Drosophila melanogaster: one gene and its partners. The protein of the gene in region 1 interacts with the protein of each later gene in a pairwise test. Each region holds a gene or a part of one and is shown in the gene's direction. Other genes may lie near its edges. The genes, in order: CalpB, Efhc1.1, RpS19b and CG11885.

Region 1 (10,072 bases):
TGTGAGCGAAAACTTGGCGTGCCCTCCAGTGCGCACCCACTGGTCCATGAAGACAGACATATCTTTTCCGGTTACGGTGAAGATGGCCTTGATAAAAATGTTGGTCGAGATGAGCAGCTGAGACCAGAGTCCTGCACCGATCTTTGTCGTTGCCGCACTTGAAGCCAAAGCCAATTGCTTATTGAACACCTGAATCAGCAGCTCCTGCCCGATGCGGTTCTCCAGCATCCGGATTACGAAATGCGCTTTCCTTCGCATCGCCTCCACATACTTCGGCGATACGGTGTGCAAACTCTTGATGGGAAAATAGTGGACAATCTCCTGCTGTTTGCTGGAAGCCGCCGATTGATTTGTGCCCGAAACAGGCAAAGGAGCTGGCGGCTGACTGCAATCGAGAATAATGCCGCCATACTGCTCCTCGTAGCGAACGACACGCGCCAGTTCAGATTGCACCCAAGCACGGTACTCGTTGTTGCCGAAGCACTTCCTGGAATACAATCCACACAGGTACTCCGCAATGCCCTTGGCCAGCCAGGTGTCCGACCAATGATGGGATGTAATAAAGCAGCCGAAGAATTGCTCAGCCACAGCGCGCGACATAAAGGTTCGAGATATATAGGTCTGATCGATGATAGCTATGGAGTGCAGCAGATTCACCGAAGCAATGCTCATAGTGGCATAGGCACTTATGTCCGTGTCCAATTCGTCTACAAACACTTGTTTGTAGCAACTGAATGGGTAGCGCGTAGATAAGGTCTCCTCGTAAAATTCAAATGCCTCGTGCAAATAGCGAACCGTATTTTTTAACAGCGGCAACAATCCGGGCAGACAAAAGTGGGTCACTTCATGCATGTGCGGATCCACGTAGATCTCAAACTGACCCACAGCCAGCGCAATATTTGGTGCACATACTGGTGTGCTAACCGAATAGTGGAAGGTTTTCTTTCGCAGATCTGGGGTCATAATGACTTCTAGAAGTTCTCCACACGAAACGGCGGTCATATTTTTGTCGACAGTGAACTCCAGCCGCCAGGTGCAGGGATCGGCGAAACTGTCCACGCAGGGAAACCACAATCTCGACGAGTTTTCATAGCAATTGGTGAACATATGCGAGCTGTTCATCTGTGTCTCCTCGTCCGTTGAAGCGGGTGGTATGACAAAATGTACGCCGCATTTGGGATTCTCCAACGAGAACTCGATGCGGATGCGCAGACCCTGACCCTCCTGGATCATAGAGTAGCCCTCGGGCGGAACCTGGATGAGCAGTTCGCCGTTGTTCACATCGGGATCGGTGTACTGGGCGGCGGTCAGATGATGCTTGGAGTAGACCTCCAGCGCGCGGCTCTTGTGCTCCTTGTAGCAGATGTTCTGGAAGGGATCGAAGTACGTGAAATCCGCCTGGCAGACATCGTTCAAAACGACGCTGTAGATTCTCAGCTGCTTGGCATTCAGGCGTATCAGGCGCAGATTCTCGCTGTTCGGCACAATGGTCAGCTCGACCACGCCCTAAAGGGAGGAGGTGTGTTATGTTTTGTACATATTTAAGTGTATCTAAGTTATATCCTTACGATTATGCTCCTCCGCTCGAAACTGATGCCCGTGAGGCTCACAACCTGATGCGCCGTGCTATTCAAAAGGGAGAACTCATTATTTTTGGATTCCTAACAGAGCAGGGTGAATACTTATAATTTAAACGGTCGCAGCGGCACCTCGGGCACCTCAGGTTGCGTTTCCATCGCTCAAATGCCGGTTCTGCGCCAGAATTTATTAACTAATTTGCGTTTGTTATAAAAAAAAACACAGCACTGTTTAACTTCTTCTTCTTCTATTGAAAATGCCGACAGGGCTAAAAAAATACCAAATTCATTCGGATAAAGATGGCAACTCTGCGCGACAATGTAGCCCTGCTCGCCTTTTTTTAACCCTCGAAACGTGTTGGGTCTTCAATATTGACACTAATTTAATAGTTTACGTTCGTAAACAATATAGACTACATAACTACTTCTCTAATACCATAAAAATACATTTTTTAGAAAACTAAAATTTATTAAAAGCTATATTTGTTTTTATTGAAACTGTTTAATAAAACAAAATTAATATTTCTATAATATATTTTCTGAGTTAATAAATGAATTAGAATGTTATAAATATTTCATTCTGCATTTTCAAAGCTTTTTTGATTGCACATGCATATTCAAAGAAAATTTATACAGAACGCGCAAGGGTTAAAGATTATGAATCATTTACCGAGAAAGTTAAATTTGGATACTTCTCCCATTTAAAGCGTACGATTCTCAGCGAGTCAGCAGTTTTACCACGGCAGCGAGTTAATAAACATCTGGATATCATCCAGTTCCGTAGTTTTAGCCGATTTGCAACGCCATTAGTAGTTAGATTTAGGGAAAAACCAGTGCGTGGACGAGGAAAACCACAGCGAAAAACCAGTAAAAATGTACGGCATTGATAATTACCCCAAGAATTATCATGCCAGTGGCATTGGCCTTGTCAATTTGGCGGCCTTGGGCTACAGCAAGAATGAAGTCAGCGGCGGGAACGAAGGAGGAGGAGCTCCCAAACCCAAAGCGGGTCTCTACCCCTCGTTGCCCTATCCATCATCCGAATCCGTGGGCGGAATGCCATATGTGGTAAAGCAGACGAGTCATGCCCAGAATGCTTCGTATGCGGGACCCACCATGGGCATGGGAATGCCCGTGCCAGAAGCCCCCTCAGCGCCGGCTCCATACCCCAGTGCCACGCCATACCCTGGATCAGGACTTTATCCTAGTCTGCCATCAGCCAACGTATCATCGCTGCCGTACCCCACTGCGCCTATGGCGCCCTATCCAACCGGAATGCCCTATCCAACTGGCATGCCGCAGCCCAATCTACCCTATCCGGCGGCTCCGCTCGCACCATATCCATCTGCCATGCCCGGTTTGCCCGGTATGCCAATGCCGTACGCTCCCATGCCAACGAGTCCGGCTCCCCAGCACAATATCGGATTCCCAGCACTACCATATCCCACGGCACCGCCACCGGAAAGTGCTCCAACCCAGGAGGAGGAACCTTCCGTCGGCGTGGCCGAGCTAAGCTTCACCAGCGTGAAGGTGCCCGAGAACCAGAACATGTTTTGGATGGGTCGCAAGGCCACTAGTGCCCGGCAGAACAGCGTAAGCAAAGGCGATTTCCAATCGCTGCGCGACAGTTGCCTGGCTAATGGAACCATGTTCGAGGATCCCGATTTTCCGGCCACCAACGCTTCGCTGATGTACTCACGACGACCGGATCGCTACTACGAGTGGCTGCGTCCCGGTGACATCGCCGATGATCCGCAGTTCTTCGTGGAAGGCTATTCACGATTCGATGTGCAACAAGGAGAACTTGGCGATTGGTAAGACCAAACGCATTAATAACACATAAGTGGACATAAATTCAAAAATTAAATATTCCTTCACAGCTGGCTACTGGCTGCAGCTGCCAATTTGACGCAGGACTCGACGCTCTTCTTTAGGGTAATCCCGCCGGATCAGGACTTCCAGGAGAACTACGCTGGCATCTTTCACTTCAAGTTTTGGCAGTATGGCAAGTGGGTGGAAGTGGTCATTGATGACCGTCTGCCCACCTATAATGGCGAGCTAATCTACATGCACTCCACGGAGAAGAACGAGTTTTGGAGTGCCTTGCTGGAGAAGGCTTATGCAAAGCTGCATGGATCTTATGAAGCACTCAAGGGTAGGAAATGGAATATTATCAGTATTTGTAGAAGCGTAGAAAATTTGTGGCATACCAAAATTTATTTTAGTTTCTAAAAATACACTATGCTTATCATATGTTCTTAAAAAAAAATAAACTAATGTGGCACTTATCGCGGTTAGGACTTTGTTGAATAGATCTGAAATTTAAATACTTTCATTCTAATAATTTTTTTGTAACCATCTCTTCACGATTAGGCGGCACCACGTGCGAGGCCATGGAGGACTTTACTGGCGGCGTCACCGAGTGGTACGACATCAAGGAGGCGCCCCCAAATCTATTCAGCATCATGATGAAGGCCGCCGAGCGTGGCTCGATGATGGGCTGCTCTTTGGAGCCGGATCCACATGTTCTGGAAGCGGAGACGCCACAAGGTTTGATTCGCGGTCATGCATACTCCATTACCAAGGTGTGCCTCATGGACATATCGACGCCCAATCGGCAGGGAAAATTGCCCATGATACGTATGCGTAATCCATGGGGCAACGATGCCGAATGGAGCGGTCCGTGGAGCGACAGCTCGCCTGAGTGGCGATTTATTCCGGAGCACACGAAGGAGGAGATTGGCCTGAATTTCGATAGGGACGGCGAGTTCTGGATGTCCTTCCAGGACTTCCTCAATCATTTTGATCGCGTGGAGATATGTAATTTGTCGCCCGACTCGCTGACTGAGGATCAGCAGCACAGCTCTCGCCGCAAGTGGGAAATGTCCATGTTCGAGGGTGAGTGGACATCGGGAGTAACAGCCGGCGGTTGCAGAAACTTCCTGGAAACCTTCTGGCACAATCCGCAGTACATCATTTCGCTGGAGGATCCCGACGACGAGGATGACGATGGCAAATGCACGGCTATTGTGGCCCTTATGCAGAAGAATCGACGTAGCAAGCGCAACGTGGGCATCGACTGTCTGACCATCGGATTTGCTATATATCATCTCACAGACCGTGACATGCAAGTGAAGCCCCAGGGACTCAACTTCTTCAAGTACCGAGCATCGGTGGCGCGTTCACCACATTTTATCAACACGCGCGAGGTTTGCGCCCGGTTTAAGTTGCCACCTGGCCACTACCTGATTGTTCCATCGACCTTCGATCCGAATGAGGAGGGCGAGTTCATTATTCGCGTCTTCTCGGAGACAAGGAACAATATGGAGGAGAACGACGATGAGGTTGGCTTTGGCGAGACCGACGATCGCATTGCTCCGTCTCTGCCGCCACCGACTCCAAAGGAGGAGGATGATCCGCAGCGCATTGCACTGCGTCGTCTGTTCGACAGCGTGGCTGGCAGCGATGAGGAAGTCGACTGGCAGGAGCTGAAGCGCATCCTGGACCACTCTATGCGCGATGTTATGGTGGGCAGTGATGGCTTCTCCAAGGATGCCGTGCGTTCGATGGTAGCCATGCTGGACAAGGATCGCTCCGGTCGCCTTGGTTTCGAGGAGTTCGAAGCTCTGCTTACCGATATTGCCAAGTGGCGGGCGGTCTTTAAGCTATATGACACCCGTCGCACTGGCAGTATTGATGGATTCCATCTGCGCGGAGCACTCAATTCGGCTGGCTATCATCTGAACAACCGGCTCCTGAACGCCCTGGCCCATCGCTACGGATCGCGGGAGGGACAAATACCATTCGACGATTTCCTGATGTGTGCCATCAAGGTTAGAACATTCATCGAGATGTTCCGCGAACGGGACACGGACAATTCGGACACGGCCTTCTTCAACTTGGACGACTGGCTGGAGCGAACAATTTACTCTTAAATTACTTGCAATTGCTACTAATCTAATCCTAAGTGCGACGTATACTTAATCTACCTGTGCATCATATTATTCATGCATTCAAATGAGAAAGCCAACACACAAATCCATGACAATGCGATCCGGCGATGCAAAGAGATACACTCACTGAGCCAACAAGAGAATCTTATCTATATGACCATATCCGGAAATACAAATCATGTGGCGAAATTGGAGTGGCCTTGGAACGGCACGAGGTTGCTACGAGTATGCACGGTAAACAGTATAAATCCCGCATACACAATTCAAAAAATTAACGCTATAGATTTTTTTTTACCATGCTGCGCAACTGGAGGGATGACTAAGAGCAAGCATCAATAGCAAATCCACTCCATGCACCTCGTCAAGAGCCGGAAATTTACTAGTACAAACAGTGCATTATTACCTTACAATCGCTATGAGACGCTCGGAAAGCCATTAGAACGCATCGACAATATTTATTAGATATACGGAATGAATAAGCATGTATTTTTGTAACATCGTTAGCTCCGAGCAGTCCACATATTTGCCCAGGTGCTAGAAATAAGTCCAGCCAAACTCTGTTACCCAAACAAACGTTGTTATTATTATCAGGAAAGTAACGCGAAGCGAACAAGCCAACCAACTCATCGAATATTTATAAGCTTAAGCAGAATTTCAGAATATCAGTCAATTTATTGAATCACATCAAAAAATGTAATACGCATATATTTTGTATTTAGTTTTCAGATCAGTAATCTCAAAACATACCTTAATTAGGCACCCTCTATGTCAAAATAAGTGTTTAACTAACTGAAATTAACCAATCGGGTTTAGAGGCTCTTTTTGTTGGATGCTTTTATATTTTACTATAATTTTTGTGAATTAATCAAAGTTACTCTTGTATGCAATTGTTACTATTAATAATTTGTTGTCCGACTTTTTGTATGCATATAAATAAAATGCAGTGATGATTCAATCTACTTGACGACTATAACTACATCAGCACCATTCGGGACGCCAGCATCGATCATTATTTGCTTCATTTCATCTATAGCCAGATTGTTATCGGATGCCAAGTTATTTAGGACCTCGAGAAAGTCTTCGTACTCCAAACGCCATTTCCTGAAACATGTATTTGATTAAGAATGATATGTAGATTTGATGTAGTTACTCACTTGTATCGCATGTATATTAAACCGGTCTGAGTTCGAGTTATGGGATTGGGCATGAGCTTGGCCTGCTCTAGCCAGGCGTCCAACTGCGAGAGGAGTATGCTGTCAAAGTACTCGTTCTCGATGTCGGTGGGTATGACCTGGCATCATTTAGATGAAAATTACTCTTCAATTAACCGGGTCATTCATCATACCTGGAAGTTGGAATACACCAAGAACAGGCTGTCCAGCGTGTGCTTCTTTGGTTTATCTTCATCATCGGCCATCGTGTATTATGTGTGTTGGGTGTTGTGGTGTAGTGTATTAAATCGAATTTGTACAAACGAGAATGGTTTCCCCTGGCAGATAAAGAGCAGTATTCTGTGTGGGTGTCATGGCTATATGTATGTGTATTTTGAATTGTTTTGTTGATAAACAAAACGTACAGAGAATCGGATGCTATCTAGACAACTGTTGCCATGGGCACGGGCCATCGTTCTAGAATTGTTTACTGCAAAAGTTTTGAACGACCTCTTGGACGCATATCGCCAGCTTGGGATTCCAATCGAGGTATCGGATATTCTCCGTGGCATACGGCGCATCGATGACCACCTGACGGAGTATATTGATCGCCACTTGGTCGCCTTTGTTCTGCCAGATGATAGCGGGATCACCGAATCGCTTGACTAACAGTCTGAACAGAGCTTGACCAAAGGGCGAGGCATTGGGATGATAGCTCCGGCAGGAGAGCGTACGATGTTCGGTTGCGTATCGGTATCGTTCTCGGATCTGCAATTGCAAATGGTTGAATGGGGTTTCTTTTAAATATCTATATAGAGAGTGCTTCTACCATGGGCAAATCAATCGGTTCTGGCTGTTGAACTTCAGCCGGCGGAATTGCTTCCTTTACTATTTCAATGTCCATGCACAGGGATAGGTTCACAATGGTCACATTGCAAGTGGTCTGTTCGTCGCCACCGCCATTGCTTGATGGACACTTCATTATCAGCATTTTCACGCCCAGATCGAAGGCCACAACCTGGGAAATTGAAAGCATTACATAATCATAAAAATAATAAATAATATTTAGTTTTACCTCGCCCGAAATGTTGTCGCCAAAACAAGTCTTGCAGCGCACAATAGAGCCCACAGTAAAGCAAGGAGCCAATGATGACATCTTGGCCAAGGAACTTAAAAACTTTAAAAATGTAATCGAAATCGAAAATCCCAGCCGATGTCCGATGTCAAGTTCAAGGCACTCTATTCTACTTTCATAGCCTTGTCATTTTGTCGCCAAAAAGTTGGTGGTGCTTGTGGTTTTATTTCTTTTTATTTACAGTGTATGTATGCTAATTTATAATGTACTAAATATAAATGTTGTTGTATATATATATATATATTTCAAAAGTAAACCGTTCCTTTTAATCATATATATATATGCAATTTCGCAGTTTAGCAGTTGCTGTCTAAATTAATTTTCTTTATATCTGCATGAGCGTTTGCTTGTTCTCTGTTGTTCAAGAAATGTTGCTTTGTTTATTTGCATTATAATTATGTATTTATGGTATTGTATATGCGCGTATGTGTATGTACCTTCATTAGCACTATTAGCATACCCTTCAAATTGTTTCTAACGCCAGGCAACAAAACGCTTTCCTCCGCTTTGGCGAGAACTGAGAAAAAGTGCATTGGTTAAATTTTAGGCAACACAAAACTCAAAAGCGTATCAACGAATACGTAATGTATGAATACCGAAATATCTTGCAGGACAGGCACGAACGGATAACAAATCGGACACTTAAACAACGAAACTGTACAATCTTTAAAATGGATCCTGACGATTCTAAAAATGAGATGCACTGTGGATTGATCGGTCGCTGGTCTAATAACTAATGACTGCCAACACAGATCGGGGTTTTCCTTTTTTACTTTTAGCACTTGAATGGTAGCTGCACGGCGACCCTTGAAATATTCGCTTTTAGTATAGTGTTTAGTTAGTTACGGCCTTAATATCCTAATTATGCTCTTCAACGGGGAGACCTTCTTTCGTAAATTTAGCTAGGTTTGCTATTAGTTTTGCTCGAAACGAAGAATTTTTGTATGTAGCTGAACTGCTGGAGAAATGTTCATATGTTCCGTCTGCAAATTGGCTGCTTGTGTTTAGTTTTAAATTTAATATCAAAAGGAATGATATATATGAATAATATATATATATAAAAATAAAACAATGCACTTTCTTCCTTGCTACTGGCCCCGTGCTTTAGCTTTACATTGGCCCATCGATGGCGCTCACTTTAAGGCGGAAATAGTAGGCGGACCTGGCCAGCATGCAACCCGAAATCACGAACAGCGCCACGTAGAGGAAGTACATGCCACCATGATCCTGGAAAAATGCAAAAGGAAACACACATATGGGTTTAGAAAATCACATACTTCAGCTTGATTTTAAATTGATTTGGCTTACCGAAGCAATCGAGTATGTGCCGATAGTTACAGCGATGCCTGTGATGAGGAACACCAGCGCCACGATGGCGAACATCACGGCGCGGCTGTTGGCAAAGCGCGAGCCCACCGATGAGACCTTCCTGCAGTGTGGACACCGGGCCAAGGCGTTGTGATACGTGTTGAACTGTAAGAGCAAGCGTTACAAGACTCCTGCTGCTGTGATTTGGATTAATAACTCACCAAAAACGTGTCCGAACAGTGGCCACAAGTGACGCGGCACATGCCCGGCATGGTTGGCACGGGCGGGGTGACGGGACTTGGGGCCAGGTTGATGATCCTCTTGCAATTGGGCCTTGGACAAGCGATTCGCTGCGACGAGCTCTTGCAGATTAACAAACAGTTGCATGGGCAGCGAACATACTTCTTGCCCGCTGGAGCGTTCCGAATGGGCTGTTGATAGCCAAAAGCGTATTAAGTTACAATTGGATTCAAAGAATCTGCTTAGAATTACTCACAGTAGCCTCATTGCAGTGGGTGCACTTGACCACGTGCTGCTCCCGCTTCGTGGTGATGTCAATCATGTGTTGACATACCCGACAGGTGACCATCGGGACGCCTCCGGTGTTGGTACTCTGCTGATACGGCGGCGGCAGCTCATCGGGTCCAATGCAAGGCACTGCGGTCGGTGCTCCATTGCCTAAAATTCCATTGCAAAGTATTATTAACTACTTATAATATTGTTAAGACCCATGCCCTTCAAAGGCGAGACCTTTGGTGTAGAATAAATACATCTCGCCAGCAGAGTTCGCTCAACCACACTGCTCATCTGGCGGTGATTGGCTCATGGAGGGAGTGAGAACTGCATTTTCTGATAGTGTGCAGTGTGTGGCTCTGGGAAGCTGCGATAAACCAAATGGGTCAATGTTTTGGCGTTATGAATGCAGCTTTCTCGTACAAGCATTAAACT
Region 2 (8,891 bases), on another chromosome or scaffold:
TATAGCTTCTCCCACAGGTAGATTTCGGGCAGCTCCAAGTGTCGCGGTCGGTTTGATGCCAAATATTTGAAGGTCTTATTGATAAAGTCACGCTGTTCGGCGTTCTCATAGGCGGAAACGTCGGAGGCAACATACGGCTGCTGCTCCCCAATGCTCCGCTGAATCGATGGCGCATTGGCATAGAAATTGAGCAGGTGCCGCAGTGCGTTATCGTTGAAATCAACGCACTTGCCGCTTGCCGAAATCTCGGCGTACAGTGGAAGTGGCTTTGTACCGCGACAGAAGTTGACACGGGGATTTTCCGCCACGTTTGTGCCGTGCAGCAGCAGCGTATTAAGCTGATACTCATAAAAGCTCCATTCCCTGCCGTTCGTGATCACAGTTTGAGTGTTCATGGGATAGGTCAGTTCGTTGTAGGTGTTGAAGCCATTGTAGTTCGCCTGGGCCAAAAGCCAGGCGTATGACGATTTAATCGCCAGCGAATGCAATGCCTCCAGCTGATCCTGCTCGCCGAACGATTTCGGACGGATCTGCAGGTGTGCACGCGATTGAAATGAGAGCAGGCCGAAGTTATTCTCATTTCCTTTGGGCCAATAGCCTGGCACATTGGTGGCGTGCTGATGCTTGGTGCTGTAGCCGAGGGTTCGCGGGTCGTGCTTGAAACGGGGCAGCTGTTTGCTCAGCTCGAGGTTTTCGCTTTCCGCTTCCGTTTTCCACGGCGTCAATTGCTTGCGATGGCGTAGGGCAAGATACGGCGCTCCCGTATACTGAACCATCCGATCAACGCTCTCGTTTGCCATATCCTTTTGCCATTCCCGGCCCTTCTTCGATTTCTGCACGTTCTTGGGAGGATCTACGCCGCCAACGGCCCAGAACGCTTCGTGGCGTGGATTGTAGTCGACATCGAGCTCATCCAGGTGCTTGTACTCCTCGCTGAGCGACTGCAGCAGAGCTCTGTTCAGCTGTTCTACAATGATCTGCGTTAGGATGCGCTCACGTTCAACGGGGTTCGATTCGGCAGAGTTGTGTTGCTTTTCCAGATGCCTACGCTTGGTAATGGAGGAGAATGAATACATTAATATCAGACGGTCGAACTTGTAACTGGGACCACTCCAACCAATCCGAGTTCTTAAGTGAGTTGGACCAACTACTGTCCACAAACTCGCCGGAGAACTTGGTTCGTTGAAAGCGGACCTCGTTGTACCCACTTGTAGTAGTCGTGGGCAAACTCGAGGGCATCAATAACATCCCCGCGAGCCGCCTTGAAAAGACCATCCACGCTCGGCTGCTCCTGCTCCTGCTCGGAGTCCTTAGCCTGTGCCTTCTTATCCGTTTCAGATGGCAAATCCTCGAGCACTGTGCGCGTATAATGTTGCGTGAGCGGCAGTGCATTGTAGGGGATTTTCGAGTCGTTGAAGTCGACCACCTTGAAGCCGTAATAGCGGGGCATATTGATCTTGATCATCTTCTCCTCCACCGTCGGCACCTGCCGGATTTCCTCGTGCCAGTTGGCCGCATCCTTCTGCTTGCGCGCCTTGAAGGACAGATCCTGAATCTCCGGATATGCCGGCTCTGCGTCCGTACTATTCAGCTGCAGCTGCGACTGGCCGGACAAACAGCGCTTGTACGTCGTTCGCAGATGGCGAACACGGTTAAGCTTCAACATGCCGTCGAACCTAACGCAAGTTACGATTTATGTTTTCGAAGGAATAGAATTGACTTCAGTTTTTTGACAATAACTAGGTTATGTCATTGCTGCAGTGTGACCGCACGCTGGATTCAGAATAGGTTGCGCCAAGGTAGCGACGGAAAGTTTTGCGATGCCAGTGAAAGTAATGGTATAATTTCTATTTATGCAGTTCAATAATAATTCATAATGAATCATAGTCCTTTACTATTTAACGTGTAGGGGTACAAAATTTAACTTGCTTATGTTTCAAATCTTTTTATTTCTGAAATCAGTTATAAATCATCGTAATATTTTTTAAGCTGTCTAGAAAAAGCTAAAAAATAGTCTTGTTTCATTTGGTATATTTTCCCCTTGAAATAATGGCATATGGCTTAAAGGCACATGCCTTAAAAATCACAATTGTAAACTTAAATCAACAGAGATCAAAATAATTAACAGACTTCTCTGCGATAACGCTTTTGACAATTTTGAATAAAATGCACGTTACAAACAGTAACATATGTGACCGTGTAACGTTTTCGATAACGTATCCCACATCTTTTTCAGCTGTGCCAAGTGCAACATTGCTAGACAACACTTTCCAGCCCTGGAAAAATACCAAGACATCTACCATCTCTCTAAAAACGAAAACATAAACGCTTACCAAGAAAATCGTAGATTTTCTACACCAAATTAAAATAAACTTATAAAAATTTTCAACCTTAAATCCTTGGCAATTTCCATGTACACGAGGGTGGCCACATAATTCTACGACATTTACGGATGTTAATGTTGAGGTAACCTAAAACACAAAAAAAAAAAAACAAAAAAAAAATCTTCGCCATAAAAACGATTTATTAAAGTAAACAACGGTACGGAGTTGTTTATGCTAGCGACTATCAGTTCAATTGTTTGTCCACGACTGCAACGCTGTCACTGCAAGCCGAGCAGAACGCCCAAGTATCCGGTAAGACTAAGCCGCAGACGATGCCTCATTCATCCGCATGCTGAAACTGCAACTGAATCGAAATCGAAATAGGAATAGGAATCGGAATCTTTAACTAAAACTCAATATTGGTCTGCAACTGAGTCTGAGCACGCCGACGAAATGAATCCCTGTGTGCTGCCCACCCCATTGCCCGATCTGGATGGCGACAAGCGTTGGCACAGCATACATCGCCGGTTCATCTCCGATTGCCGCGAAAAGGATCCGGATGTGATATTCCTCGGCGACTGCATCTTCGAGACCGTCCAGGACACGGAGGCCTGGAATAAGTACTTTGCGCCGCTGCACTGCCTTAACTTCAGCATTCGCGACGACTGCACCGAGCACGTACTGTGGCGCATCGAAAACGGTGCGCTGGACAATGTGAATCCCAAAATCGTCGTCCTCCATGTGGGCACCAATAATGTGCGGAACAGCGCGGAGGAAGTGGCCGAGGGTGTGCTCGCGAACGTAACGAAAATCCGGCAAAAGCTGCCCAACGCCTATATCGTTTTGCCCGTAAGTACAATAGTTGTGGTATTAGCCAGCCGCAGTAAATCATCGACATTCCCATCTCTCCCTTGCAGTCGCTACTGCCGCGTGGCCAGCAGCCCAATAAGTTGCGCGAAAAGAATGCCAAAATCAACGAGGTGGTCAATGGATTGACCAAGGGCTTGTATCGCGTCCAGACGGTGGCCATTGACAAGGGTTTGGTCCAGACCGACGGCAGTATCAGTCATCACGATATGTTCGACTATAAAAATCTAACCAATGCTGGAGCGAAAAAGATATTAGAACCACTCTACGATCTGCTTTCTCAAATTCTCAACGAAAACGAACCTGAAAACGATCTCACCCCCTCCGAATAAAAGGAATATCCAGCAGCTATCCATTATATATATACATACATGCATACATACACACATACATATACCACAAACAATTCCCAGAATATAACTTAAAACCAGAAATGTATTTTTTGAAATCTCATAAGCTATAGAGCTGCGAGACTAACTCACAATTAAGCATACATTTTTCGTATCGAATAGTAAACCATCGCATATACCATTGCATTATGATATTATTTTACATTGTATTTATAAGAAAAGAAAAAAAACCGAAATGACTGTCATTGGGTAAAATAGAAGTTATCTTCAAGCATCAGACATTCATGGATTTTCGCTAGCATTCGTTTTTTTTTACGTTTTCCGTTTGATCACCCACAAATTAACTTTTGTTTGATATATTGACAGTATTCTTGTATTTTATTACTATTTTATGCATTGACAATAAGAAGTAAAGTTTAATGCAAACCGTGGGAGACGTTTGATAAGTGTACACGTAGTGGATTTTTTAAAAGAGGCCAAATCTATAAATAGGAAGTATGCGGACCTGGAGAAATAAAAAAAAGAGTAGGCTCCGCAGGATCTGGACTTAAATTTTCTTCAATAGTGCTCTGTATTACATTTAGAGCGTACACCAAATATACAAAATATTTCCAAAGAGAAAAGGTCGAAAACGGGTCAATAATTCACATAAAATATATACAATGCTGCGCATTCCTGGAATGCCCCTTCTTCCGGGGACTCTCTTTCGCGATGTAAGTACTTCGGATTGAACATCAATTGGGATTAGATATACATCTATGCGAGTAACAGGTATCCAAGGGACATTACCCCAAACCGCAATCGCTGGCCAATGTCCAAGGTCTGAGCATGCTGAGTGATCGCCAGCAACCGGCTCCTGTGGAATCGGGCAGCGTTACGGTGGACATAAGCTGTCCCCCAGTTGGGGCGTCCTCCATATATCCGCCACGTTCGGGTCCCCGTATGCCTCCATGGCTGGCGTATGACAAGAAGGTGCTGTGCTTCCATGCCTACTTCAAGCAAACCCTTCAGGAGGTCTACCATGCGCCCTATCTGGTGCGCAAGGTTAAGATCTACTACTATCTGGAAGATGGTACTTTAGAGATCTACGAGCCCCGGGTGGACAACTCGGGAATTGTGCAGGGATGTGTAGTTCATAGGCAGCGGGTCCAGAAGGCGCCGCCGTGCGATAATGAGTTCATGTCCCTCATCGATCTGAACGTGGATCAGACTGTTCAGATATTTGATCGTCAGTATCATATCACCGATTGCGATCCGTTCACAAGAACTTTCTTAAACAAACGCGGCATAACCGTTCCCGATCCGGTCAAATCGCCATGGTAAACGATATTTGAATCTCGGAAATTACCCATTTATAATGTCCATTCTCATATAGCGATCCCACCGAGGAGCAACGAAAGCGTGAAAACCAACCGCGATCTGGTAATTTAATCCCAAAGAATCATCCGTTTGCCCAGTTCCTCAAGTACGATAGGCAAATACTCAAGTTCCAGGCGTACTGGGACGATAGAACCGAGTTCGGAGACGTACGCAAGCTGGAGCTGTGCTACTATCTCTCCGACGATACCATCGAAATCAAGGAGCAGCACATTCGCAACTCAGGTCGCGACGGCCCAACCGTTTTTCTTAAACGCGGGCGCTTAGCTCGAGTAAGTAAAAATAAGTATAGATGGTACTGGTATTTACCATAACGACTTACAATACGATATTAGCAAAGTAAATTGGGATGTTGTAGCCCAGATCCCAAGATGTTTGAGATAGGTTGGTTTACATGATATCTTCTTGGGATTCCTTCTATTGAACTTTTGTAGTTTCGGATCTCTTGATATTTGAAATCTTCCAATTTCCCTATAAACCTGTAGATATAATTAAGAGTGTAGGTAATTAACCTAATTAGCTGTGCAAAACTGTAATATTGACCAAGTTATATCGTATTCATGTCATAATATCGTATTTTTGCCATATTTATACATATTTTTAAGGAAAAACTATCCGTTTTTTTACATTAGCAATAAAAAAAGTGGAATGTCATACCTCGTTGAATTCGTAACCAAATTCACCATCGATCTGTTTTCAAAATTGCAAATTTTAACTTTTTGCCATTTTCACATATTTTGCTGATTCAAAAATTTGTAAAAAAATGGATTTTTAAAACTCAACATGAAAATTACACATGTAGTAAGATCCGTTTATTAGCCGCATAAAACAGTTCTTTCTTTTAGTTATGATGGAAAATCTGTTCGCAAATATCATATTTTATGATTAATACTATATATCTGTTTTTGGTAGGAGTTCGAAGGACTCCAGCTGCCAGGACAGATGACCCCGATGACGCTACTGAACGTCCTGGGCACCAACATGCGCAACGTGCGCTACTGCGTGGATCCGCTGAACACTGGAAACAAGGAGATTCATTACTATAGGGAAAAGGATCTCCAGATAGGCAGTGTGATAAACGTGTATGGCCGTGCGGTGGTGATAACCGAACTGGATCCCTTCACCCAGAACTATTACCGCCAGCGATATGGCATACAGGATTTTACCCCACTGCCGATCCCCGCCAGATCCGATGATTGTGCTGACCATAGATCGGAACGACAATTGCCACCGTACAATGGATGGGGTAGCTACGAGGATTCGGTGGGCAATTGCATATCGGTCGAACCGAAGCCGCCAAAGTCCGATTTCAAAAAGTTCATCAAATACGATCGTTATGTGCTCCGCTTTGGCGCCAAAATGCTCTCGACCATCAAGGCGAATTGCGAGCGAATCTTTGTGATTAGCTACTATCTATGCGATGATACGCTGCAAATCCAGGAGATCGCCGTGCGGAACTCCGGATTCCTCGGTGGTGAGTTCATGAAGCGCACACGCTTGGAGTTGCCTGGCCAGGAGAGGTTCTCATGCAAGCAGCCGCAGTACTATATGCCATGGAACTTCTTTGTCGGATCGACTATGTCGCTGAAGGACTTCATTTTTCACATAGTCTCGGCGGACGAGTACACGCTTATGTACATGGAGCACCATCCGGAGATCTTTCCCCATGCGAATGTGGGTGTGATCATGGAGAAGGTGAAGAGTGCCCTGCAGAATCGCATGGCGGAGTTTGTGGGATCGTGTGTTCCGGACTGTACGGATCTTGAGAAGAAGCGTGATGTCTTTGTGTCCTTCGAGAGTTTCAAGGGCGCCCTGATCAGCATTATGGGTAACCAGATCAGCGATCACGAGATCATCAGCCTCTGCCGGCACTTTTCGGCGGAGAAGAGTCAACCAAATGCCTGCGATCGGTCCACGGTGCGGGCGGCGGCTCATCTCGAGCTTAAGAGAACCCTGTGGAATGCTCGGGATGATCTGATGGAGCACTTCCATCACATCAATCCGACCAACCAGCCATTCCTGCCCGAAGTTAAGGTGAGATCGGCACTGCGGGGATGTCGCCTGCCATTCTCCTTGGAACTGATCGACAATATACTCTCGATTCTGAATCGCAACGAGTGCGACGACATCGAGGTGTGCGACCTAATGAACTTCATCGACGTATCATGCGGCAAGGGCTGCGACATGCTGCCCGTGAACCACGCCTTCGAGCTCTGCCCCAAGATCCCGTTCCTGAACAAGGGTCGTGTGGTGAACTTCACTTGCTTCCTGAGGGAACTTAATCTGCCCCTCAACTTGCCAGCCGGCGGCGAGAAGAACAACGATGCGATTGCAGAGGGTGGAAGGATAATGCCACCATCGGCCATGCCCGATACCGATGCCCACAAGGCGAATGAGGACGACGCACAGCACATGGCTTGATTGAGACACGTATCTTGCAGTGCACACACATATTTCGTTCCAAATTATTTGTTGTAATTCCTTCCATTATCTTGAATCGTCAAAAAAAAATATATATTTTGAAAAATCGATTTTCTTTACTAGGATTGGCAGATAGGATGCATAGCCTAATTGCTAATTTTTAATAACAATATTTTGCAATAGCAAAACTTAGTATATTTCGTACTTACATATATAGATAGTTTCTAATTTAGAATTAAAAAAAAAAAATGATTTTCATGATGCATTGTTTCGAATGTTGCTTTGGTTTATTTCACCAATGGTTTTATAATTGATTTATATATCTTTAACTGATATTTTGTGATCCAGGAACCAAGATCATTCAACAGTATTTACGATATCCACATATGCTACTATGGCAACCATTGTATATTGTATGTGCTATTGGAAAACACGTCTAATTCCGATTGACTGGGCAATTCAGTACCAACTCGCGATCTTGGCAGGATTTCGTCTCCCGATCGAACCACTGATTCCGTGGGCAATTATGGCGCTTGACCCGATTCTTATGGCACATATAGAAACGACGGCAATGTTTGGGATCTGTCAAATACTCGCCATCGTTTATTCCACGGCAATCGCGCTGGGATCTCAGCACATCAATTCTGTTAGTGAGTGGATGCGGAGTAACTTGGAAGATGGAATGGGCATCATCTGCATCCTCGGTATCGAGAATAAGTTTCGATTTTTTGGTGGTCACTGCGGGTGTCACTGTCGTCGTCGGTGGACAGGTGGTTGTTTGTGGTGGCGTCGTGGTGACCTCCCCATTGGCCTTTCCATTGGGCACCAAAGTGACGTTTGCTTTGACGTCTCCCAGCACAGAACCGCCGCGATCCCCGTTGAAACATTTGACTAGTCCGGGTAGATTGCAGGTCTGGATCTTTGGATCGTAATACAGGCCATTGGAGCACTCGCGCCGAACGGCATTACCACGCTGGCACACAAAGAAGCTGGAGCAACTGGCCGGATCCGCAAACGACAGGCCATTGAAGCGATCCGCACAAACGGTGCTGCCCAAAGCTTCAGTCAATGGCACCGCCGACGACACTAGGATCACCACAAATAGATGCTGTGCAATCCCTAAAGACGAAAGAATATACAACAATTTTAATATAGATTTAACAATAAGATCTTTAAGCTAATTGCACATGCATGTTGTTTGGACACACATGCAGACATTATGATCATATTGTATATATCTATTTTTGAAGTATCCCATATATCCTTTGCTATATAATCGATGTGGTATAATCCATTGTTCGACGTACAAACTTTCATGTTGGTAAACCGGCTTGGAGGTGCTGTTTCAATAACGAGACAAATTTAGTCCAGACTCGCTTTTATAGTCGGAGGCGCCTCCTTATCGCCATCGCCATCGGCAGACGGCGACGGTTACATGGGTAACGTTCACTTCTTGTGTGGAAAACACGGCTTGGACAAACAGTATACTTTTCGCGCGTGCTGCGGGAACTAGCGTGTATCGCCAATGAAACCATTAGGAAATTGGCAGGGA
Region 3 (5,946 bases), on another chromosome or scaffold:
AAGCAAAACAAAAGCGAACTTTCGCCCGTGTTTCGTATTAAGTTGAACAAGTTGCGAGCTTATTATTGTTGATTTTCTGTAATTTTTAAGTTAATGAGCGTCAAAGTGAAGCAATTGCATTTTCAATTATGTATCGCAACGTCTCGTACCGTCAAGTCACGTTTATCGTACGATCGCTCCGTTGCCGTAACATTAAAATAATCAAATATACACAAAACTAAACTCTAAACAAGTGCATTTTAATTGTCGATTGCGGTTGGTCACTTAGCTAATCACAATGGAATACTCGTACGCAAAAACGTATATATCGCTGGATCGACTGGAATGTATCAAAAATATATGGGTTCTATAATACTATAAGTACACTTTTGTGATTAAAAAAAACGGAGATACAGCACAGCGTGCATGTGAGAGTATCCGTGTCCGTATACAAATTGGAAGAGGTTTGATAATCGTTTAAAAAACTAGTGGATTACAAGCTACAGGGAATAAATGTCTCCGGGTCCGAGTGCATGTCAACGTGGTGCAATCTTTTGATAGAAGTAGTGAATCAAAGAACCAACGATTTCGGAAACAATTGCTGCTTCACATAGTCGTTAATCATCTCCATGAGCAGCTCGCGAGTGACTTTCGGATGCTGCAGCACGTAGCCAAAGTCTTTCAGTTTCGTGTTATCCAAGTAGAGGTGCTTGTGCTGGAGCTGCTCCTCATCTAGGTACGGTGTCAGCGGGGTGTTGTCGATGCCATTGCGCTGGCAAATCTCGGCCCAGGGTGCCATGTGCTTGTCGTTGATTTCACTGACGGTGTCCGTGGGATAAAGCTGAAAATTCAAGCGAATAATAAACAATAAGCTGAAGCTTAGTGCGCCGATTAAATGCTAACTTACTTTTGCCAAATTCGACATTACAAGGCCGAAGAAATCCAAATTGATGTCGAAAATATCCACTAAAAGATTACTAATGGTGCCCTGCGTCGATGCTGAATCATCGCAGATGTTGTAGATCTGACCGGCGGTCTTGGGACTCTGAGCCAATTGCCAAACGGCAGCGCACACGTCCGATACGTGCACAGTATTCAAACGCATGGCATCGTTCCACAGCAGCTTCATTGTCTCGTTCAGGTATTTGTATATGGCAGCGATTATAATGCGCGGCACTGTAAACGAAAGGCAATGGGTGGTGGGTTCGGGATTAACCCATGGGCTTTGTCAATTACATCAATTATCGGGTATCAGCGAAGAGGGACACTCACTCAAATAGCGCTTATCGCCAATGCCATAGACCACGGGCAAACGGACGACCGTGTAACTGAGATCGTCGATGTTGGCCAGTTCCTTCTCCACCTTGAGCTTCTGCTTGGCCACGCCCGTCCAGGGATCCGTCTTGCAGTCCTCTTTTAACGGCGTCTTTTCGCTGCTGTTCACACAACCAGAGCTGAGTTCCACGTATCGTTTGACCCGCTGGTTAGCCGCCTCATTGGCGCAGTTCAAACTGAGCTTCAGGATACCCTCCTTGTATACGGCATCATCCTGGTTGGCACGCGTCTCGGCCGCACAATTGATGACAATGTCCCAGGCCCGTCCAGTGGTGGGGTGTGGCGCAAAAGCCGCCTTGCATGAGGCTGTATGAAAACAAAGGGAAGCGTTCTATAACCAGTTTAGGTGCAACAAATGCATTAGGGTGGCTCGTTACGCGCAGCGATACCAAGGTGGTACTTGAAAATTCTATATCCGATAGCGCTTTCCTTTCACAAGAATGTTAATTGCGGATTTTGGATCTCCATAGGAGTTGTGATCCGCATCCTGGTGGAACGAGCCACCCTAATGTAGTGATTACCTACCGGCGTTTATTAGGTTCGCGCTGCAGAACTCCACCCGATCGCTCTCGAAGACCCGCGTCTGCTCCTCGTTTAGCCATGCCATCTGCGGAGGGGTCTTATCGGCCAGTCGTATTTCCTGCGCCAGTTCATTGTCCAGCAGATAAGTGGCCAAGTTGCGTCCAATGAAGCCGCAGCCTGCGGGAAGAGGAAGAGCAGCGATGCAGTCAGCGATGCTGATAAGCGGAAGTGTGGAGTGGGGAGCGGGGGCAGGATGACGATGAGGAGGATGCAGCGGGACCACTTACCACCCAAAATCAGAACAGTCGGCTTTTCAGACATGCTGCAGGCGCGACACGGTCAACCGGAATGCGAATGAGTCAAGTCGAAAGATATATATTTGTTAGCGCTCGAAATGCTTTTTGTTGTTTTGTTTGGCTGTATTTCTAGTGTGACCATCCCGTGATCATTCTTAAAACAAGAAATACCTTCAATGCTCCACAAGCTGGTCACCCTATGGCGCTGTATTCAAACCTCTTCGAATGCTCTTCAATTAGCGTAGAACGTTTTATTCATTTATACAAACCAAAATACAGCAGTTCTTTGATTCTTACTCCATAGGGCTTCAGTGTCATAAAATTGTCCTTGTTAGTCTACCTTAAACCCCCTGTCACCAAGAACAGTAGTTTTGCTACATTGCGTTCCTTTCCAAGTTTATAGGTTAAGTTTTCGAAAAGAATTGCCAAGTTCACCAATACTGCACGACAAAACTATCGGAAAGTAATCCTTTGGGGTCAATGACCTGGTCCCTCTTTCAAACGTCACTTGCCAATCGTCCATTTTGACTAAAGTCAGCAAACTAACCGGAAGCAAACCTTTTTCTTCTCAAAAGGTAAGACTTTTTTAAATACATACATACATATATCGGACCCATGAGCCTTAAAAACGTGCTTTCAAGAACGTAGAGAGCAACATGCCTGGAGTCACAGTAAAGGAAATCGATCAGCACGTTCTGACCAAAAACATGGCTGCTTTTCTCAAAAAATCCGGAAAAATTTTTGTGCCCGAACAGGCCGTCTATATGAAGACTGGCAAGTTCAAGGAGACTGCTCCTACCGACGACGACTGGTTCTACACTCGCTGCGCCTCTATTATGAGACACCTGTACCTGCGCAGTCCCGCCGGCGTTGGGGCCTTCACCAAGGTCTATAGCGGGCGCAAGCGCAACGGTGTTCGTCCGTCCAAGCACTGTCGCTCATCGGATGGCTGTATTCGCAAGGTGAGTGGGAAATGGTTGTACTTTAAGGTTATATTTAATATTACTTAGCATGTATCTAACACATGAGCAGGCTCTTCAAGCCTTGGAAGCTGCTAACATGGTGGAGAGGCACCCGGATGGTGGTCGTAAGCTGACTCCGCAAGGACAACGTAACTTGGATCGCATAGCCAACAAGATTGTGGCCAAGCAGCGAGAGCGCAGTGCACCAGTTTCCATGATTATCACTACCTAAGATGATAATACCAATACCACGATGGATCATCTTTGAGTGCCTTGGGTTTTCAAAACATTCTCAATAAATCGAAACCAAAAATAAAATTAAACAATTATATACATAATAAAATAACTTAATACTTGAAATATAAACGATTCGAAACTTTATTTTTGACACAAACACGCCGAATAGCAAGAATCCAAGTTATAAAATGTTAGCTAGACCACAAATCTCCCGATTTTTGGTTGCCAGGAGCTCTGAAACCGCGAACTATGACCTCGGCCTGCCACCAACCGCTGGTTTCATTTGCTGCTTTCAAAACGTCATGCTCTTCGTTGGTCTGGCTAACGTCTTCCCCAGATTTATCCAGATTCCGCACGCCAAGATCGTGGTAAATATCCATCTCCTTGCAGCAGCGTAATTCATTCGGTGTGTTTTCACTGCAATGCAGTAGATGCAGGTGTATGTTCTTGCAGCTGCGCGGAAGTTGGCTTAATATATGCTTTGGGATTAGATTAAAGGAGTCACAATGGGATCCTTGGGGTCGATCGGAGTCTGTAAGGAGCTCCATTTCTAGAAACACGTTGGTGACTTTTAGTTCGGTGGAGAATAGCCTGTACAGCTCCTCGCAGGTGAGCAGGCGGAGCAGCGCCTGGTTGATGCGACCTTCGGGCAGAGCATGGTGCTCGCAATAGTGATCTCTGGATATGGAATCATGTGGTATGTGCAGAGTATAGGCCTCCGAGGGCATGAACATATTGTTGCCAAAAAGAAATCGCAGGCTCTTCACTTCAGAGCTCCTGAAGGCTTGTCGGATGATCTGTAGGAGAGAACTGGCAAGTAAAGACCAAAAGAAGTCCTGGATGTAAGGGGAACCTCACCTCTCTCATGTCACTAATAGATTCCTTGGTGGCCTTTGCCTTAGAGCGCTGCTGGTTGCGTTGGTAATGAGCAAAGGACTCCTGATCCTTGGATTCTCCCGATTCATCAGCATCTGACCATTTATCCACATAATATTTGTATGTTTTGTACACGAAGGGGATTTGCCGGCGTTGATAGAGCAAGAAGTCCAGGATGCCATTCACGAACTCCGCTGTTGTCCCACTGGTCAGAACCTCAATGTTATCCAGTTTAAGATCAACATTCTTGACATTTTGATCCATTAAAAGGTCGCAATATAACAAATTTAAACAAATGCTCTTTTCGCACTAATTGCAAACGTTGCCAGACTGAAACATTCAGTTTGTTTACAGTAATCGATAAGTATATAAAACAGTGACTTTTAAAATTTGCTTTTTTCAAGTCTTGAATTCATTTATATTTTGGTTGTTAATCATTACTATTGTTTTAATCCGATTGCTTAAGCATTTCTTGCCTATTTTAATTTTCACGTTTTTTTAAAATATTTGTTCACCCTTAGAGTTGCCAGACCTTCATGTTTCCATAGTACGGCAACACAGCTAACGCGAATGACTAGTAATTTTGTTGCCGACAATAAAGAGTAAAAAGTTCATCAAACGTTCGGCAAAGCAGCAAGCACCAAGACAAAATGGTAAAATAGCACCTTCAGAACACCCTGAACTCATTTACGATCGGGAACAATACATTTGCAGGGACAAAACCAATCGGCTCAAGGGGGAGCTGGCGAAAAGAAAGATGACAAGGATAAAAAGAAGAAGTACGAGCCTCCAATCCCAACGCGCGTTGGCAAGAAGAAGAGGCGCGCAAAGGGTCCAGATGCGGCCATGAAGCTGCCCCAGGTCACGCCCCACACCCGCTGCCGCCTTAAGCTGCTCAAGCTGGAGCGCATCAAGGATTACCTGATGATGGAGGACGAGTTCATCCGCAACCAGGAGCGCCTGAAGCCCCAGGACGAGAAGAACGAGGAGGAGCGCTCTAAGGTTGACGATCTGCGCGGCACCCCCATGTCCGTGGGCAACCTGGAGGAGATCATCGACGACAACCACGCCATCGTGTCCACATCGGTGGGCTCCGAGCACTATGTTAGCATCCTGTCCTTCGTGGACAAGGATCAGCTGGAACCAGGCTGCTCCGTGCTGCTCAACCACAAAGTACACGCTGTAGTCGGAGTTCTCAGCGACGACACCGATCCAATGGTCACGGTGATGAAACTGGAAAAGGCTCCGCAAGAGACTTACGCAGATATCGGTGGCTTAGACACTCAGATCCAGGAGATCAAGGAGTCTGTTGAGCTGCCACTGACCCATCCCGAGTACTACGAGGAAATGGGAATCAAGCCACCCAAGGGCGTCATCCTATATGGGCCTCCTGGTACGGGCAAGACCCTGCTAGCCAAGGCAGTGGCCAACCAGACCTCGGCCACTTTCCTGCGCGTTGTAGGCTCAGAGCTGATCCAGAAGTACCTGGGCGACGGACCCAAGCTAGTTCGTGAGCTCTTCCGTGTGGCTGAGGAGCACGCTCCATCCATTGTGTTCATCGACGAAATCGATGCAGTGGGCACAAAGCGCTACGATTCAAATTCTGGTGGCGAGCGGGAGATTCAGCGTACTATGTTGGAGTTACTGAATCAGTTGGATGGTTTCGATTCGCGCGGCGATGTCAAGGTGATCATGGCCACCAATCGTATCGAGACCCTTGACCCGGCGCTCATTCGACC
Region 4 (6,123 bases), on another chromosome or scaffold:
TAGTTGTCACACTCGAAAAAAAAAAACTGTACACAGATGTTGAGAATTCCACATAGAACGAGTAAATTTGATTAGGTTGGACAGAAAGAAATCATATTTTGGAAATCATATTCATATTCATATAATAAATAAATATTTCGATTCTCAAAAAACTTCTTCTTTTCGTTCAGTATATTGTGTATCTGTGTCCGATTCAAGTGTTTGAATTCCTCGGCTGAGTTCCTTTTTTCGGGCTCTTCTGCTGCGCTTCGATCACTGGAATTTTAAAACCGGATGCGTGTCATTCCTCTGCCCCTCCAAGCCCGAAAATCCAGGGGCATCAGGAATGCGGCTGCTGCTTCCTGCGGTTCATCTCCCTCCTCCGCTCCTCTGGACTCCTCTGGGTTCGAATCTGGTCTTAGTTCTTGGCTCGTCTCCATGCCATCTAATTTTTCTATGCCCATAATTTGTACTTCCCGCCTACCTCTTTTGCACGGGACCTAATTTGTAGATTCCTCCGCTGCTGCGGTTGCTGGTATCGACTGACTGGCCTCTAGCAGGTATAGGTGTATACTCGCCATATGGAAAGGGTCTTCCGGTATAGTTTGAATTGGTTAGGTTCGGGGTACGAGGCGATTACCATGGATACCTGGTCGGCCAAAACATTAATTACTTTGCAGTGCGCCTGTTCCGGTCCCTGGGGAGTCACCCTGTTGGGACACCCTGACTATACCTCTCTGTAAATCTACCTAAATTTTTAATGTTAATTTGAGCTTAATATAACCAACTTGTTTCTTGGTTTGTCTTCCGGGATGCATCTGCATCTCCTCTGCTTTCTGCTTTTTGGGAAGTTTAGGTCTTAATCTAGATATTAACTTCTATCTGATAGATTAGGCAGTGTTCACGTTTAATTTTATTAACTAAAGCCACATAAAAATGCATCGGAATAGAGTTTAATATTTTCACTGGTGTATCATTAATGTGAGTGACACACTAATTTCTATGATATTTTATTATTTAGGGTCTCTGCAGCCAATCGTAGATGGGGTCTAAGCCCACTTTGGTGACGGCGCTGGCCTCCACGATGGTCACCTGCTGGCGGATCTGTTTTTGCAACTTCTGCATCTGCAGCATGAGCAGAGCCTCGTTTCGCATCTGGCGGTAGGAGTAATCCATTTTGGCCAGTACCAACAGGATCTTAGTATTATGCCTGCGACGAATTTAACTAGTGCATGAGCTTTCAGTTCATTTCCACCTTACTTACTGCAGACGCGGCTCGGTGAGGATTGAATAGAAAAGAACGCCGGCGGCTGAAATCTGACAGAGATTAGAGGTGTCCACGACGTAGATCAGCTTCTTGACATCCTCGAAATACTGCCTCCACAAGGGGGCCATACTCCCTCCAATTTCCAGGATCTGTATGGACTTGGGCAGATTTTTACCGCCATGAGGAATGTTAGCTGGAGCTTCTGAGGGAGGAGGCTTATTTTTATCCCCATTTGGCGATTTTGTTGGGAAATGGATTCGGTAAATCCCAGTGCCAATGGTGGGCATGGAAAACGTGGTCTCATCGATGGATTCCGGATCCTGTAAAGCTTTCAAAAGGTGCGTTTTGCCCGCTCTTTTGGGGCCCAAGCAAATGCAGGTGGACATTTTTGCTTTTACTTGGATTTTATTTATGGATCTAACAAAGGTAGCCTTGGTTACCAAAGTTTATTAATTAATTAATTAAATTAAAATTGTAAAAGTTAGTTCAGTAAGCACGTACATGTTGTTATTTCTGGCTTATTTTATATATAAAATATTTACAAATGGTTGAACATTTAATATCAATCGCGTAATCGAAATCTTGTGTCAGTAGTTCAATTATTTTCTGCATGATGGCGCTCTCAGGAAATCAGTGCAAACGTTTGAACTGCGTGCTTCGGGAGTCACGAAACTCGGAACCATTCGGCCACACTTCATATTAGCACATCAATGCATAATGACTATCGATAAAACATCGATGTATTTTTCATCGTTTTTTCATGCTGTCTCATCGTAAACAATATCAACATTGTTAAACGCTTTTAAATTCTCTCAAAAAATGAACCACACAGCAAACAAACCTCGACAAATCGGATTCGACAGGCAGTTCTCAGCGGACGTGAACGGCGTTCCCACGGAGATAGTGTTCCACTGCTTTGCCAAGAAGTGGTTCTTAGTCATAACGCAGCTCGGCAAGATTCCCGGCATCTACAACGTGCACTTCGATGTCAAAAAGGACGAAAGAGTGGTTCCCTATTTGCACGGACCCGTGGACAATCCGGAGTTCCACGTATCGGTGCCAATCACGATGAACTGCTGCTTGGGCTTGGACACCGACGAGACTCGCAGCGCCATACAGTTTCTGGTCAACAGAACCGGACTCCACAAGTGCCCGACGGAGTTCGTGGTGGGCTTGGGTCTCAAGAAAATCGACGGACCCAATCTTCGTGCCCTAGCTAAGGTCCTCGAGGAGACGTTATTCTAGTCTGCGTTCGTTATATCCAATAAATATTAGCTGTGACAGTTTTTGTAAAAAAAACCTTGAACATTTTAATCGTAGCCTTCAACCCGGCTGACCAAATTATTGGCCATTCTACTGCAACCTCTTTCATGTGCTTAAAAACCCAAAATAGAATCTACTCACAAAAAGGCAGTGGAATGACCAATAACATAGTAAACCATAATAATTCTGCACCGTTGTGAAAGGAATGAGTCTCGATAATTTTTTAGCAAACGTCTTCTATATTTCCTCACATTTGTACATTAAAAACGTGTACGCAGGTCGGGAAACGGGTACACGTCCACCTCTCGAGGATTACAGCACAAACACAACGGATGTCCGGTTGTCGAGAAGTTCTCTAGAGGATTTAGTCGAACAGACCGAAGCCCATGTCGTCGTCAGACTGGTCGGACTCCTCCTCCTTCTTCTTCTCCTCCTTCTTGGACTCGGCGGCTGGAGCAGCGGCGGCGGCAGCAGGGGCAGCACCACCGGCGGGAGCGGCACCAACTCCGGATCCGATGTTGGTGATCAGGTCCTTGACGTTGATGCCCTCCAGGGCCTTGGCGAAGAGACCGGGCCAGTAGGGCTCCACCTCGACGTTGGCGGCCTTCAGGATGGTGTTGATCTTCTCACCCTGGTGAATCCAAAAAATAAGATCAGCACAAGTTGCAGCAGTGCGAAAGAAACCATAGGACCCGCAAATTGTCCAATACTTCCGGCCGATGGCCGCGGCTTTGGAGGATTTGCTTCGTCCCCGATTGCAATATCGAAAAACTTACGGTGACGGCGACATCGTCATCGACGAGGATGAGGGAGGCGTAGACGCAGGCGAGCTCGGCTTTGGTGGACATGTCGAAGTGCTGTGGCTAATCACTGATTGTGCAAGTTGCCAAAAATTAATTGTTTATAACAAATGGCCTTAGCTCGGGACGAGAACAAGCACGCTGGTCAAAATCCTAAACCGGAAAGAGCAGTTGATATGCAGTGTGACCGCGCCGATGACGAAGAAAAATACCAACCGTCTATGAAAATTTGCATATTATTGTCAGGAAATACTAGGTAGAGGAAAACTCGTTCAAACTGCCGAGATTATCTCTTATTTAAACTAGTTTATTTTTAAGCATCTTGGACAGAAGCCTTAGCATAATTCTCTGGTTATATGTTTATCTCTCTATTTTAATAAAAGACCTTTCCGTACGGTTATTGAGAATATTAAAAAAAAGATATTTTGGTATAATGACGAATGAGTCACACTGCAACTTTATGTATACAATTAGTGTGCCCATAGCGTCGTTTAAACGTAAACAAAAAAAAAGCGCGCGAAAATGTCGGACCAAGAAGACGTAGTTGTAAAAAAAGAAAAAAAATGTATAGAAAATATTGATGAGAACGACGAAGAGCCCGATGATGTAGATTTTAAGGACAGCGGAAAAATAAGCTCCTTGAAGGCCCTGGGTCCATTTATAGCCGGCAAGGAGAATAGCCGCAACACGGTTTACCTCAGCGATGTTCCGGATATTTGCAAGGATAAGCCGTGCATGCTGGGCGTGGACGAAGCAGGGCGTGGTCCCGTCCTGGGACCTATGGTATATGGGATCTCCTACTGTCCACTGGAAAGTAACAAGGCTTTAGAGGACCTGGGATGCGCCGATTCCAAACAACTAACCGAGGGGAAACGTGATATCATATTTAACGATATCAACACCAAGGAATATGCGACCAGTTGCGTTGGCTGGGCCGTGGAGATCATATCGCCGAACACGATCAGCACCAGCATGTACCGGCGGTCGAAGTGCTCCCTGAACGAAGTTTCCATGGACTCGGCCATGGGCCTTATCCAACAGGCGATCGATGCGGGCGTCAATATAGCCGAGGTTTATGTGGATACGGTGGGTCCGCCGGAGAAGTACCAGGAGAAGTTGCTCAAACGTTTCCCCAGCTTTAAAATCACCGTGGCGAAAAAAGCTGACTCCACCTATCCAATAGTCTCTGCTGCTAGTATATGCGCCAAAGTTACCCGTGATCATGCCCTCAAGGTGTGGAGCTTCCCCGAGGGCTTGGTCATTAAGGACAACGAGTTCGGCAGTGGATATCCGGGAGATCCGGTCACAAGAAGATTTCTGACCGAGTACATCGATCTAGTGTTTGGATTTCCACGACTTGTGCGCTTCAGTTGGTCCACCGCGGAAAACGCACTGGCGGACAAGGCCTATGACATGGAGTTCGACGAGCCGGATTCCGAGAAGCCCAAGTACGCCGGCACCAAGCTCACAAAGTTCTTTAAGGGCACAACAAAATCCGGCGAAATAATTCGCGAGGAGTGCCGCTTCTTTAAGCAACGCCATCTGGAAAGTGTCATGGAGTTTTAGCAACAAATGAAAATAAAATTAAGTTCAGGAGTATCTATATTTACAAAGAATAAAGTTTAATTTAAGTACTTTAGTATTAAATTTTAAAATGCTAAAATACAAAAAACACCCAGGCCCAAAACGAAAACAGATTAATTTTTATCTTTAATGTATTTTTGCTGATGTTCTTGTGTTTCCGCCAATCTCGTGTTCTTAATAATTACGTTCGATTACTGACTACGTGGGACTGCAGTTACACTGTTCTGAATGTATGCGTGAATCGGTCTGATCTGATCTCTTGGCATCCCTTTTTTGGAGGACAACTGTGGAATTGGGTAAAGGACTTTTGGTGGGGAGGGCGGGGAGTTGGCTGGCATCTTTGATCGATACAATAACAAAATGCAAAGTTATACTAAACGATTTTCGTATAAAAAGGGACGACCTTAGAAACATGGAGCTTATGATTAAGATTAAAATGAGGCGAGTCGCATCCCGCTGATCTGAAGAGAACAACAACCATGTTGAAGCCCCCAAAAATCCCAGGTGCATATCGATATTTTGTGACTCGAAACTAAGCGTACGAAATAGACGTGGACAAAAGCGGGAGGATCTCATCTCAAGAGGTATACCTTAAAGAACTAATTAGAATTTAAAGCAATTACAAATACGATTGCAGGGCGGGATAGCTAAGAAAGGAGTTACCTAAGGTCCGGACTCCAGATCCAAATCGACTTATGTTGGTAGAATTGTAACTGATCATATTTCACTTCTTTAAAAAATATAGTTAAATGCAATTTTTGAATCAAAAGTAAAAACTTCTCGTTCCGTAAGAAAGTGAAAAACTACCGATTTCATTTTTACCAAATAATGAGCTGGAAAAGGAATCTTGACTATTTTAAGCGTTGGCTCAATACACGAAATCCAGTTGTGGCTGCTCCGGCAATCAGAACTTTCGCAGGTCCAACACGAAAACGCTACCGTCGGAGGCACTGGCACCCACCTTAGTGCCCTTGGAGTTCCAGCACACCTCAAAGATTCCGCCCGTGCCCTTGTAACTGTGCACTAGCTGTCCCGTTTGCGTGCTCCAAATGTGTACGCACTTGTCGAAGCTGCCGGAGGCCAAATGCTTTCCATCCGGACTGAAGGCCACCGAATAGACTGGCTCTGTGTGCTTGGTGAGCGTGTGGATACAGCTGCCCCTCTCCACGTCCCACAGTCTTACCGTGGAATCGAACGAAGCGGATGCGAGGATCAGGTTTGTGTTTGGAT

What was found.
Region 2: the proteins of CalpB (region 1) and Efhc1.1 interact in a two-hybrid assay, tested with the Drosophila melanogaster proteins (one large-scale study listed by BioGRID).
Region 3: the proteins of CalpB (region 1) and RpS19b interact in a two-hybrid assay, tested with the Drosophila melanogaster proteins (one large-scale study listed by BioGRID).
Region 4: the proteins of CalpB (region 1) and CG11885 interact in a two-hybrid assay, tested with the Drosophila melanogaster proteins (one large-scale study listed by BioGRID).

Annotation. Positions count from the first base shown.
Region 1 is NT_037436.4:9,886,834-9,896,905, forward strand, and holds CalpB (Calpain-B), read left to right. Parts: upstream 1-1,928; 5' UTR 1,929-2,450; coding exon 2,451-3,391; intron 3,392-3,457; coding exon 3,458-3,732; intron 3,733-3,950; coding exon 3,951-5,512; 3' UTR 5,513-6,486; downstream 6,487-10,072. Other genes in the region: Taf2 (TBP-associated factor 2), read right to left, coding at 1-1,506, 1,569-1,623, 1,687-1,736; CG6709 (uncharacterized protein), read right to left, coding at 6,487-6,631, 6,685-6,821, 6,876-6,947; Hez (hezron), read right to left, coding at 7,159-7,449, 7,511-7,699, 7,757-7,837; CG6707 (uncharacterized protein), read right to left, coding at 8,927-9,043, 9,125-9,289, 9,346-9,555, 9,621-9,802. UniProt on the Drosophila melanogaster protein: Calcium-regulated non-lysosomal thiol-protease.
Region 2 is NC_004354.4:15,778,947-15,787,837, reverse strand, and holds Efhc1.1 (EF-hand domain containing 1.1), read left to right. Parts: upstream 1-4,127; 5' UTR 4,128-4,203; coding exon 4,204-4,254; intron 4,255-4,312; coding exon 4,313-4,860; intron 4,861-4,916; coding exon 4,917-5,190; intron 5,191-5,830; coding exon 5,831-7,339; 3' UTR 7,340-7,440; downstream 7,441-8,891. Other genes in the region: mRpS30 (mitochondrial ribosomal protein S30), read right to left, coding at 1-1,044, 1,209-1,666; Paf-AHalpha (Platelet-activating factor acetylhydrolase alpha), read left to right, coding at 2,778-3,173, 3,242-3,523; CG43673 (uncharacterized protein), read right to left, coding at 7,776-8,458, 8,647-8,656.
Region 3 is NT_033777.3:23,930,238-23,936,183, reverse strand, and holds RpS19b (ribosomal protein S19b), read left to right. Parts: upstream 1-2,653; 5' UTR 2,654-2,707; intron 2,708-2,773; 5' UTR 2,774-2,788; coding exon 2,789-3,094; intron 3,095-3,164; coding exon 3,165-3,326; 3' UTR 3,327-3,455; downstream 3,456-5,946. Other genes in the region: CG5854 (uncharacterized protein), read right to left, coding at 551-820, 887-1,155, 1,252-1,620, 1,840-2,013, 2,124-2,157; CG13599 (uncharacterized protein), read right to left, coding at 3,523-4,128, 4,190-4,471; Rpt2 (regulatory particle triple-A ATPase 2), read left to right, coding at 4,858-4,860, 4,922-5,946.
Region 4 is NT_033779.5:417,309-423,431, reverse strand, and holds CG11885 (uncharacterized protein), read left to right. Parts: upstream 1-1,981; 5' UTR 1,982-2,065; coding exon 2,066-2,491; 3' UTR 2,492-2,537; downstream 2,538-6,123. Other genes in the region: CG13692 (uncharacterized protein), read right to left, coding at 997-1,189, 1,244-1,632; RpLP1 (ribosomal protein LP1), read right to left, coding at 2,874-3,140, 3,286-3,357; CG13690 (uncharacterized protein), read left to right, coding at 3,832-4,875; ebi, read right to left, coding at 5,798-6,123.